Linked DNA regions of Drosophila melanogaster. The protein of the gene in region 1 interacts with the protein of each later gene in a pairwise test. Each region holds a gene or a part of one and is shown on either strand. Other genes may lie near its edges.

Region 1 (3,570 bases):
CTACTCCCTGGAGGCTAATGTGCAACGGGAGCTCGGCATCTCCATCTGCATTTCATAAGCGCAGCAGCACAGAAGCACCTCTGCTGTCGGCCACAGTGACAGCCCTCTATGATGGACATAAAGCATCCACTGACTCGGCACAAATTGAAAGCATAGAATTACACGCGTGCAGCTTGTGGTAAATCTTACATTTTGCAATTGCCTTTCGCTTGGCTCTACAATTTGAGTCAAAGTCTGTGTTGCAACATAGGTAGGTGGCTAGCTGGCTGGCTGCTCGGGAAACATTTATTACGTCATTTATTGTCGACCGCAATTTTCAATGCAATTTTCTATTGAATTTTACAGTTATTGGTCATCGTGTGGCCCATTTGGAATTTCAATTAATTAACGACAAATATTAGTAACTAAAATCTGTCACTGCAGATAAGAGATACTTTTTCTAAAATCTACATTTCATGATCATGTTATAAATATAATTAAGTGCGAATATTAACAACAGACATACCAGAAAAAACTGGGCTTATTGAAGTTTAAATATTTATTTTACACAGAACATACAAATTATTTATCTACTTGGCTTCAATTTATCAATTTGAACTAAACGCTGCCGCGTTTAATTTCCGAGCATTCACTGTGACTAAATTCACTTGAAGTAGACATCCTTTTTGGTCACATCTGCAGCCGGGAAAACTACGAAAATGGATTCAAGTCCTATGATTTAAATTAATAAAGCCGTTTCTCTAGCATCGTGTTTTTGGGCGGATAAACGGACAACTGCATCCGGTTAGCGGAACCAGGTCCAAAACTTCCACCACCTGCGGTTGCCACGCGCATTTGGCGGCGGCACAGCGGGAGGTGGCATCACCTGGGGCGGCACCACCGGCATCATTGGCGGCTCCATGTCCGCCAAGTCGTCCACGCGATTCTGTGTGGCACGCACCACGCAGTTGCGGTACTCCTCCATAGCTGCAAAGCAGTTGCACGACCGCTGGCGGTGCGCCTGGAGGCAGCTCTGCAGCCGGGCGGCCACATCCAAGCACGGTGACTCCACCGCCACCGGCCCCAGATGGCCCTCCACCTGCTGAATCAGTCGATCGAATTCCGCGTAAATGGCCTCCGTTGGCCTGAAATGAAAATCGAGATAATCACGAATTTTCACCACTGCTCTTTTAAAAATTTTCAAATATTTTTGATGACCTTGCTGCAGGATACTCACATTCGTTGGATATCGGTGGTGAAGCTGCGCGATCTTATGAGGCGTCTGGAAACGGGCATCGGCTGTGGATACTCCTGTTTGGGAATCGGTTGTCCATCCGGTTCCTGCTTCGTCTGCCCCGGCAACGCTTTCTCCGTCTGGTCCGATTTTTCCGACCTCTTGGTCGTCGAATCCTGCTTTTGCGGTGGGTGTGGTCCTGTTCCTGGTCCTGCACCGCCACCCTCGGCACGCGTTTCGCCGGCCAACTGGGCGCCCATTTGGAGTGTGTGCTCGGATAATCCCAGCTAGATTCGCTCTGTGTGTACTTTTGTGGTTGGGTCTGGGTTAAACCTGTGAACTGGTGTACTTATGTTGGTGTTTTTAGTTCTTTGTTTTTTGTCAAACAGATACAATTTTCATAGCTAGAGATTTTGAGTTGCTAAACTAACTGATGGGGGAAAGTGAAATCGCTTTCTGTTTGTTCTGATGAAATTTGTGACTTAGCACTCCTGGGTAAAAATAAATTGGAAATTGTATATGTGCCTTCTTAAGTTTTTTAAAATGGTAGAAAATCCAAGTCTAGAGTTTAGGATTAGAATACCAATTTAACTTTGTTTACATATTGTGCATTTAGGAACGAACATTTTCATCCCAAGTATGATGGTACAATTTTATTACACTCTTTGTGAATTCGGACTACGGATGAATATATTTTATTACTTGTTAGCCATTCAATTAAAATTCCAGTGCTTCATTGATCCCATCTCATGCAGCTGTCCATTTTTAAGTATTTTGACCGGGGCATCCGGAGGATTTGTCGTTTAGGTGATGATCCACAATGTACCACCTCTGCCCGAATTGCCACGAATCCACCGGAATTTTAGCTTAATTGCGCATTAGAGGGAAAAGTTTTCCTGTTTCCTGCGAATGGCCACAACGCAACACATTTCGAAAGTTCAGCCAGACAATTTGACGATGGGCCATGGCCACGATGTCCATCAAATGCAGGCATTCTCCGTACTCCGGCTCCGGCTCCGGTTCAAGCTTCGCTTCCGAATCCGGCTCATCCGGGTGCATCAATGTCCGGATACGGGACTCTACCAAGACACCCTCCCCACAACACAGACTAATCAAGCCAAGGCAAAAGTAAGGGCCAAAAGCAAAGTCCACCTGGGCTACAGGTGCAAGTGAGGAGTGAGGGGGGGGGGGGTCGGGGGGTCGGAAAAACTTCTCCGGCTGCCGGCTGGGCATAAAAAAGTCAAGAAGTTTGTTGCGGCTGGCATTTCGTTATTGGAATTTTCATTGGCCACAAAAATACTTTTTCGATTAAACTTTAACGGCGCGTAAAATGCGAAGCCGGCGTCGCCAAATGGCCGGAAAAATGCCAGAGCCGCCGTGCAGGCACCGATGCCAAATCAGAAAATGATTAATTACGGAATGCTTTGTGTGGGTCGAAGTCCAGGAACCCGGGAACCCAGGAACCCAGACGCCCAGGCTGCCAGGATCTACTTGCTGCGCGGCCTGCCAAATGCCAATTAGCGGAAATATTTCACGCGGCCGACGTCGCCGACTAATGGAAATAAATTAGTTTCGCTCTCTCCGTTTTTTTTTTTTCGCCGGCCAAAGGATCCTCAACGAAAATGTTAAATACGCATACTTCTGGGTTCCAGAGTCCTGGGATCCTGGCGCCCTGCGGTCCCCGGGTGAAAATGTCATGTCCGAATGGAAATACACACATAGTGCATACAGTCGGGAAAATCAGCGCCGTGGGCAAATTTGGCGGACGGCACCCACAGTCCTTCGTTAACTGCGAAATATCCGATGCTGCCACAATTCACTACTGTCCACATGCAAAATGTTTTCGGGCAACAGAACATGCCACTTGGCTATTTTATGAATATTTCATATTTATGAATATACTATACTATACTTCACATAAAAAATATGAATACCACTCAATTTTAGAGTCCGGAATACTCGAAAAATAAAATTTACCCACAATTTTAAAATTCATACCTATTTTATCGCTATTTCAATTTAATTCAATTAATAACAAGCAAACTATTAATGCATTTTCACTAACACAATTTCTTGTATATAAATTACTAAAAATCTTAATCGATTGATATTTACAAGACGATATGAATATGAAGTTCAACAGCTGCACAAATCCTGCGAAAATAGTGCCAAAAATGCTGTTGTAATTCGTGGCCTACATAAAAATAATCCCCAACAACTGCAGATATTTTAAAGGCAGGACCTCGCTTCTATCAACATTTTTTTTTTTTTTTTTTTGGCTTAATCCATGGTTGGCAACACTGTTTGCAGTGAGTTGAAAGGTTCATTAGTTTCCAGTTGCAGCATTCAGCAATGCA
Region 2 (5,186 bases), 7.0 Mb from region 1:
TCTGCTATCCTAGGTAAACCTTCGCAGGTAACGGGGGTTGCTTATGTGTGTTCGCTCGTGCTCACATTGAATGGCAATTGGAGAGAGTAAAAAAGAGAAGCAAAAATTACTCATTCAACTTTGTTATTGCTTCGACTGCTTGTTTTTGTTGCTCTACGCCAAGCGCGTTGCTGCATGTCGCGTGCGTGTGACGTCACGATCGCCAATTGGGGTGGCACGAGTTTAATTCAATGGTGAAATATTGAAAAAACAGAGTGGATCCTATTATAATATTACAAAATTATTTTTAAAATATTTAATTTGAAAGTGGACAGAAACTGTTGGCAACCAAAATTTAAACTATATATCATTTTTTAGAGTGGACCAAAATTATATTTTATTATTATATTTTGAATTTCATATTGTTCATTTTCAGCAAGAGGAGTATTCGGGAGCGCCTGTCCAGTGCCTGATTCCCGGAACGAATCAGTGGGCGCTCATTGGGGTCTCCTCCTGGCGGATCGCGTGCGGACCCACGGGCGTGGAGCGGCCCAGGATGTACGACAAGATCGCCTCGAATGCCGCCTGGATCCGCGAGACGATCAGCGCGATATAGTCGGGATAGTTCACCAGGGGGCGGCGGCACGCCCCTCAGCGCATTTGTGTAGAAAACGGAACCGAAACTCACTGGGTATTATGTGTGTGTGTAGCAAAGCAAGTAAGGCAATTAAGCATATGTACTATGTAACTAACCTGCTCTAATGTTACTCGAACCTATGTAACTCTATGCTAACTGTATTCTTTAAACGTCCTTTTTTTTGCTGTTTTGTGTAATATTTATTAACTATGTTGTAATTGTATGTTAAACATGTCGAAAAGGAAGCAAATTTAGTTGTTAGTCTGTACGTTTAGCTGTTTGTAGAAAGATATTGTTGAATAAAATGAAATCGTCCAAAATCAAGATAATGGCTTTACTGGGGGTATACCACAATTAGGTGGACACGTGCATGGATTTCCATTTCCCATCCTTCTGAAGGCGGTACTGCACCCGGTCTGCGATTTGGTCGAGACCCACCTTCAGGAAGTCCCAACGCTGCGGTTGGAATTTCCAAGCGGTACTAGAAGAAGTTGTAATTATGTATATGTTAATTTACTAAATATAGATATACATATAAACTTCGAAACTCACTAGCTTGCTGGTCTCTCGATGGATTTTCCTCTGTGATCCAGAAGGAACTGATCGTGCTTTGCCTTGAGATCATCGTAGTTAATCGGTTCTCCACAGGGACAGATGTGACCCCTGATTTGGGCAGCCAAATTCTCCTTCGCCCACAAAGCATCCATTTCGCTTTGGTCAAGTTCCACGGCGGTGGCTCCAATCAATCTCACCTGCCAGGCATTCTGATTTCCGGCCTTATCCTTAACATCTGGCATATAGAAGGTGATGCAGGCCTTGGGATTGGCCTGAAGGTTCTTGAAGTTGCGAACGTACCGATGGGTGATGTAGAACACACAGTTATCCTGGGTGAGTCCGCGGTACAGAACAGTGCGGTTGAGCACACCGAATTCCTCGTCCACGGTGGCCAGGTTCATTTCCTGTATGAATCCATCGGGATGTCCCTTGGCAGCTTCCTGAAGGATCTCCTTAAAAAATTCAACGGGATCGGAGGGAAAGTCCTCGATTTTGGCCAAAGAGGAGGTCATATTGGTGGGTCCTTGAAGCGAAAAATATTCTTATACATTTTGAAAATGTAATACACATTTAATGTTAATTGGTAAAGCCCCTTATAACTGAAGTAATGTACTGTCATTCAAATTTGGCGCACTTTGCGCGCTGTTAACGCTAACAGCACTGTAACAGAAGCGCAGTACTTTGCAGCGGTTCTATAATCGATAGCCGTTGATTTCACGTTATATTTGCGAAGCTATCGGTTACTATCGATACATAGAAACGAAACAAATTCTCCCAATTTTCGGCTGAAAACGAGGAACACCAACTCGCGATTCTGGGGCGGCAGAACGGGAAATCCCGCCGAGGAGCAGCATGACCTCCATTCTGGACATGAAGGCCGGTCCGCCCGACTACTGGGCGGAGATCAGCAACTTCTTTCTGCCGCTGAAATACCTGATCACCAACGACCGCTTCGATTCGATGGTGCGGGACATAGACCTCTATTACCTGATCAACGGGGTCTTTTGGATATTCGTGGCGTTGTCTTGCGGCTACTACGCCTTCCAGCGGCTCTTCCAGGTGGGTCCAGCACGTGGCAAATCCTTTCAATCGCAGCACCCTCGACGCGGCGCCTCCAATTGCACTTTTCTTTTGAGGGGTTGCTCGGCCAATTTGCCGTTTATAAATAAACAGAGCGGACACGGTGCCGGATTCGCGCATTCCGGGGGTGGACGGGGTGCCAACCGAGTGGGGCGCTAAAAATACTGTTACCAACCCTTTGAAAAGCTTCAAAACACAACGAAATGCGGCACTTTTTGTATTGTTTTGGCTTGCAACTAAGCTGTAAATGATTATTATTTAAATATGTTGTCTCTTGTAAAATCAATATAAGGCGAAGATAGTATTGATTTTACTCCCGACAGTCATTGTTTAAGGGATTCAGATGTACTTCCTTCCCCATTCGGTTGGCACTTCGCTCCTGGCTTTGGTGATAGCATAAGTCCGGTGACAGTCGACCCATCGGCGCTGACCATAAGCCATATAAACCATTATCTGTAGTGACCCAAGACCAATGCTCGACTAATTGCTCCTCTCCCTTTTCAGTTCTTTCTGAAGTCGTCGAGCATGAAGCACTTTCAGCGGAGGCTGTTCGCCCGCGTCATTTGGAACATCGCCTTCTATGCGGCCAGCTGCCTGTTCCTGCACTTCTACAACGAGTTCATGATCCTGCCGCAGCTGATGAAGAACCAAGGACGCTACTCGCTCTTCTACTCCTCGGAGAACCTGATCTTCTATCGATCTCATCAGGCGGAAAAGTTTCAGTTCTACTCGATCTTCATTATCACGTTCTACCTGCATGGGGCGTGGTTGGACTTCAAGGACGCTGACTTCCTGGAGGTGGGCTCCAAGGGACTCTACCTGCTGTCCCTCGTCGCCATCGATGTTTACAGGCAAGTCGAGACACGTTTGGTCCCTACCATTCTAGCCTGGAGCCATTTAAGCTCGAAAATATTAAATACTCTTTATTTTTAGGTACGAAAACTACTTTGTGGGCCTGAATCTAACGGTGGGTCTGTACAGCATACTCACCGAGGTGCTAGCCCTGTTGGTCCTGCCCAGCACCAATTCACACCGGATCATCTACCAGGTTTTCCTCGGTCTGCGCATCATGGTGTGGGCGTATGTGTTTGTCAACCTACTGCCCTTTAAGTACTTCATACCCACGCTGTTCGCCAAGAACTTTAAGCTTTCCCTGAATGTGCCCATTTGGTTGTGGTACGGCCTCTCCATTTGGAACTCGCCGGTGCTGCAATACTTCTACCATCAGATATATCACACAGCGCCGTCGGATTGTTCGGGCGAGGGATCGGCGGCTAAGTGCATCCTGGTCAAGGACACCAGTGAGTTCCGGCACTACAAGACACTGAAGAAGGCCTATTTGGAGGTAAAGCTGGCACACATTAGAACCACGTCCAATTCGCTGCCCTCCGAAACCAGTTCGGCCTCGGCCAAAACCTTTCAGGCCATAAAATGTAAGCTTCCTGCACTAACCGATGTTGAATATCTGATTAACAATCATTTTCCCTGGCAGGCGTCATGATGCTTAAGCGCAAATTGAAGCGAATTCGCGAGGGACGTGGCCATGAGCCGGAGGATGACAACGATGACCAGGCCATTGATACCTAATCGCGTCCTACCGCACGGACGCAGCACACTTTTACACAGTAGAAAACCACATTTCCTTAAACCAAACCAAAAAAGACACAAGTTCAGCTTAGGCTAATAACTCACAAAGTTGAAACTAGCGCTCTCTCTCTCTCTCTCACTCAGGCTGATTTCGGTTTATGCGTGTTAGCTAGAACGCGATCAGCGCGAACAGTGCGTTTTGGCCAACATTCAGATCGTAATCAAAAAATAGGAATATTTAACACTTGAAAATTTGTAAATTTGTCAACGTTTTTGTTGTAAAGACTTTAAAAATATCAGTTGGTAGCTTTTAATCAAAAATTATTTAAATATCTCAACGATTCAAATATACGCGTTAAGAACATAACAACTAAAGGTTGTCAAAATTAAAACATGAATATAAACGATAAATCAAACGTGCAGATAATCTCAAAGGCTATATACGCAAAAATCGAAAAGTGAGGCTTACAAAATTAATCTCCTAGAAGTATTTAAAATAATGTTATATATCTTTAAAACGTCGAATTCGACTGTTGCCAAACGCACTGTTCTAATAGTACTTATTCGATAATAAACCACAGTGCGTTTCGATGCGAGCAATACAACAATTGACGCACTGTTGTCACTAGTTAACAATTATTTATAAAAACTCTAGATCAATATTAAATGTAATATCTACCAATCACGATTTAGACAGCACGCATAAACCAAGCGGCTGAAAGACCTTAGCAAATTTAGTTAGTATCGCTCGATTTTTGGCGCCAACGGAGATCGTCGCTGATGATATATATACATATAGTTACTATATCTCTATACCAACTCTCTCTCTCTCTCTCTCCCTCGCACACACGATCGCAGTTTCTCTCTCGTTTAGATTTGTAAGTCGCCTTCAACTTATTGTTGTTGTTTATTCGCTGTGACTTAATGACATATTGAAATATTGTAATGTGTTGTTTTTTTTTTCGTTCTTTTAATTGAAATATACTATATATGGGCTAAACGAGCGCAATTGAAATGTGTGTGTGTGTTGTTGTTGTTGTTACTGGGTTGGTTGCATTCGTTTGTTTTATTCACTTCTTAGCTCTCCCATCGTGGCTGAAATATTATATTATATTATTAATGTTCTTGCTTTATTTGATATTTGAAAAGAATTCTCTAGTTAAATTTCGGTTTCTCATTTGGTTTTAGGTTTCGCGTTTCTTCCTTCGAAACTTTGTTTTTGATATCCTTGCAATCGTACGTTCTCAACATGAATTCTCATTTGCTCATTTCATAATCGGAATCGATTTTAGAACTGTTTAATTGTACAACATATTTACGTATTAGGTCTGTAAACTAAAAAATTTCT

Evidence for each region. Proteins that work in one complex are often made in the same cells at the same time.
Region 2: the proteins of CG9101 (region 1) and CG1636 interact in a two-hybrid assay, tested with the Drosophila melanogaster proteins (one large-scale study listed by BioGRID).

What each region holds. Positions count from the first base shown.
Region 1 is NC_004354.4:15,228,219-15,231,788, forward strand, and holds CG9101 (uncharacterized protein), read right to left. Parts: upstream 1,658-3,570; 5' UTR 1,474-1,657; coding exon 1,217-1,473; intron 1,125-1,216; coding exon 785-1,124; 3' UTR 526-784; downstream 1-525.
Region 2 is NC_004354.4:8,271,525-8,276,710, forward strand, and holds CG1636 (uncharacterized protein), read left to right. Parts: upstream 1-1,887; 5' UTR 1,888-2,023; coding exon 2,024-2,230; exon of another isoform or gene 2,231-2,282; intron 2,283-2,755; coding exon 2,756-3,102; intron 3,103-3,184; coding exon 3,185-3,684; intron 3,685-3,743; coding exon 3,744-3,838; 3' UTR 3,839-4,677; downstream 4,678-5,186. Other genes in the region: CG1632 (uncharacterized protein), read left to right, coding at 416-595; CG15343 (uncharacterized protein), read right to left, coding at 971-1,097, 1,169-1,683.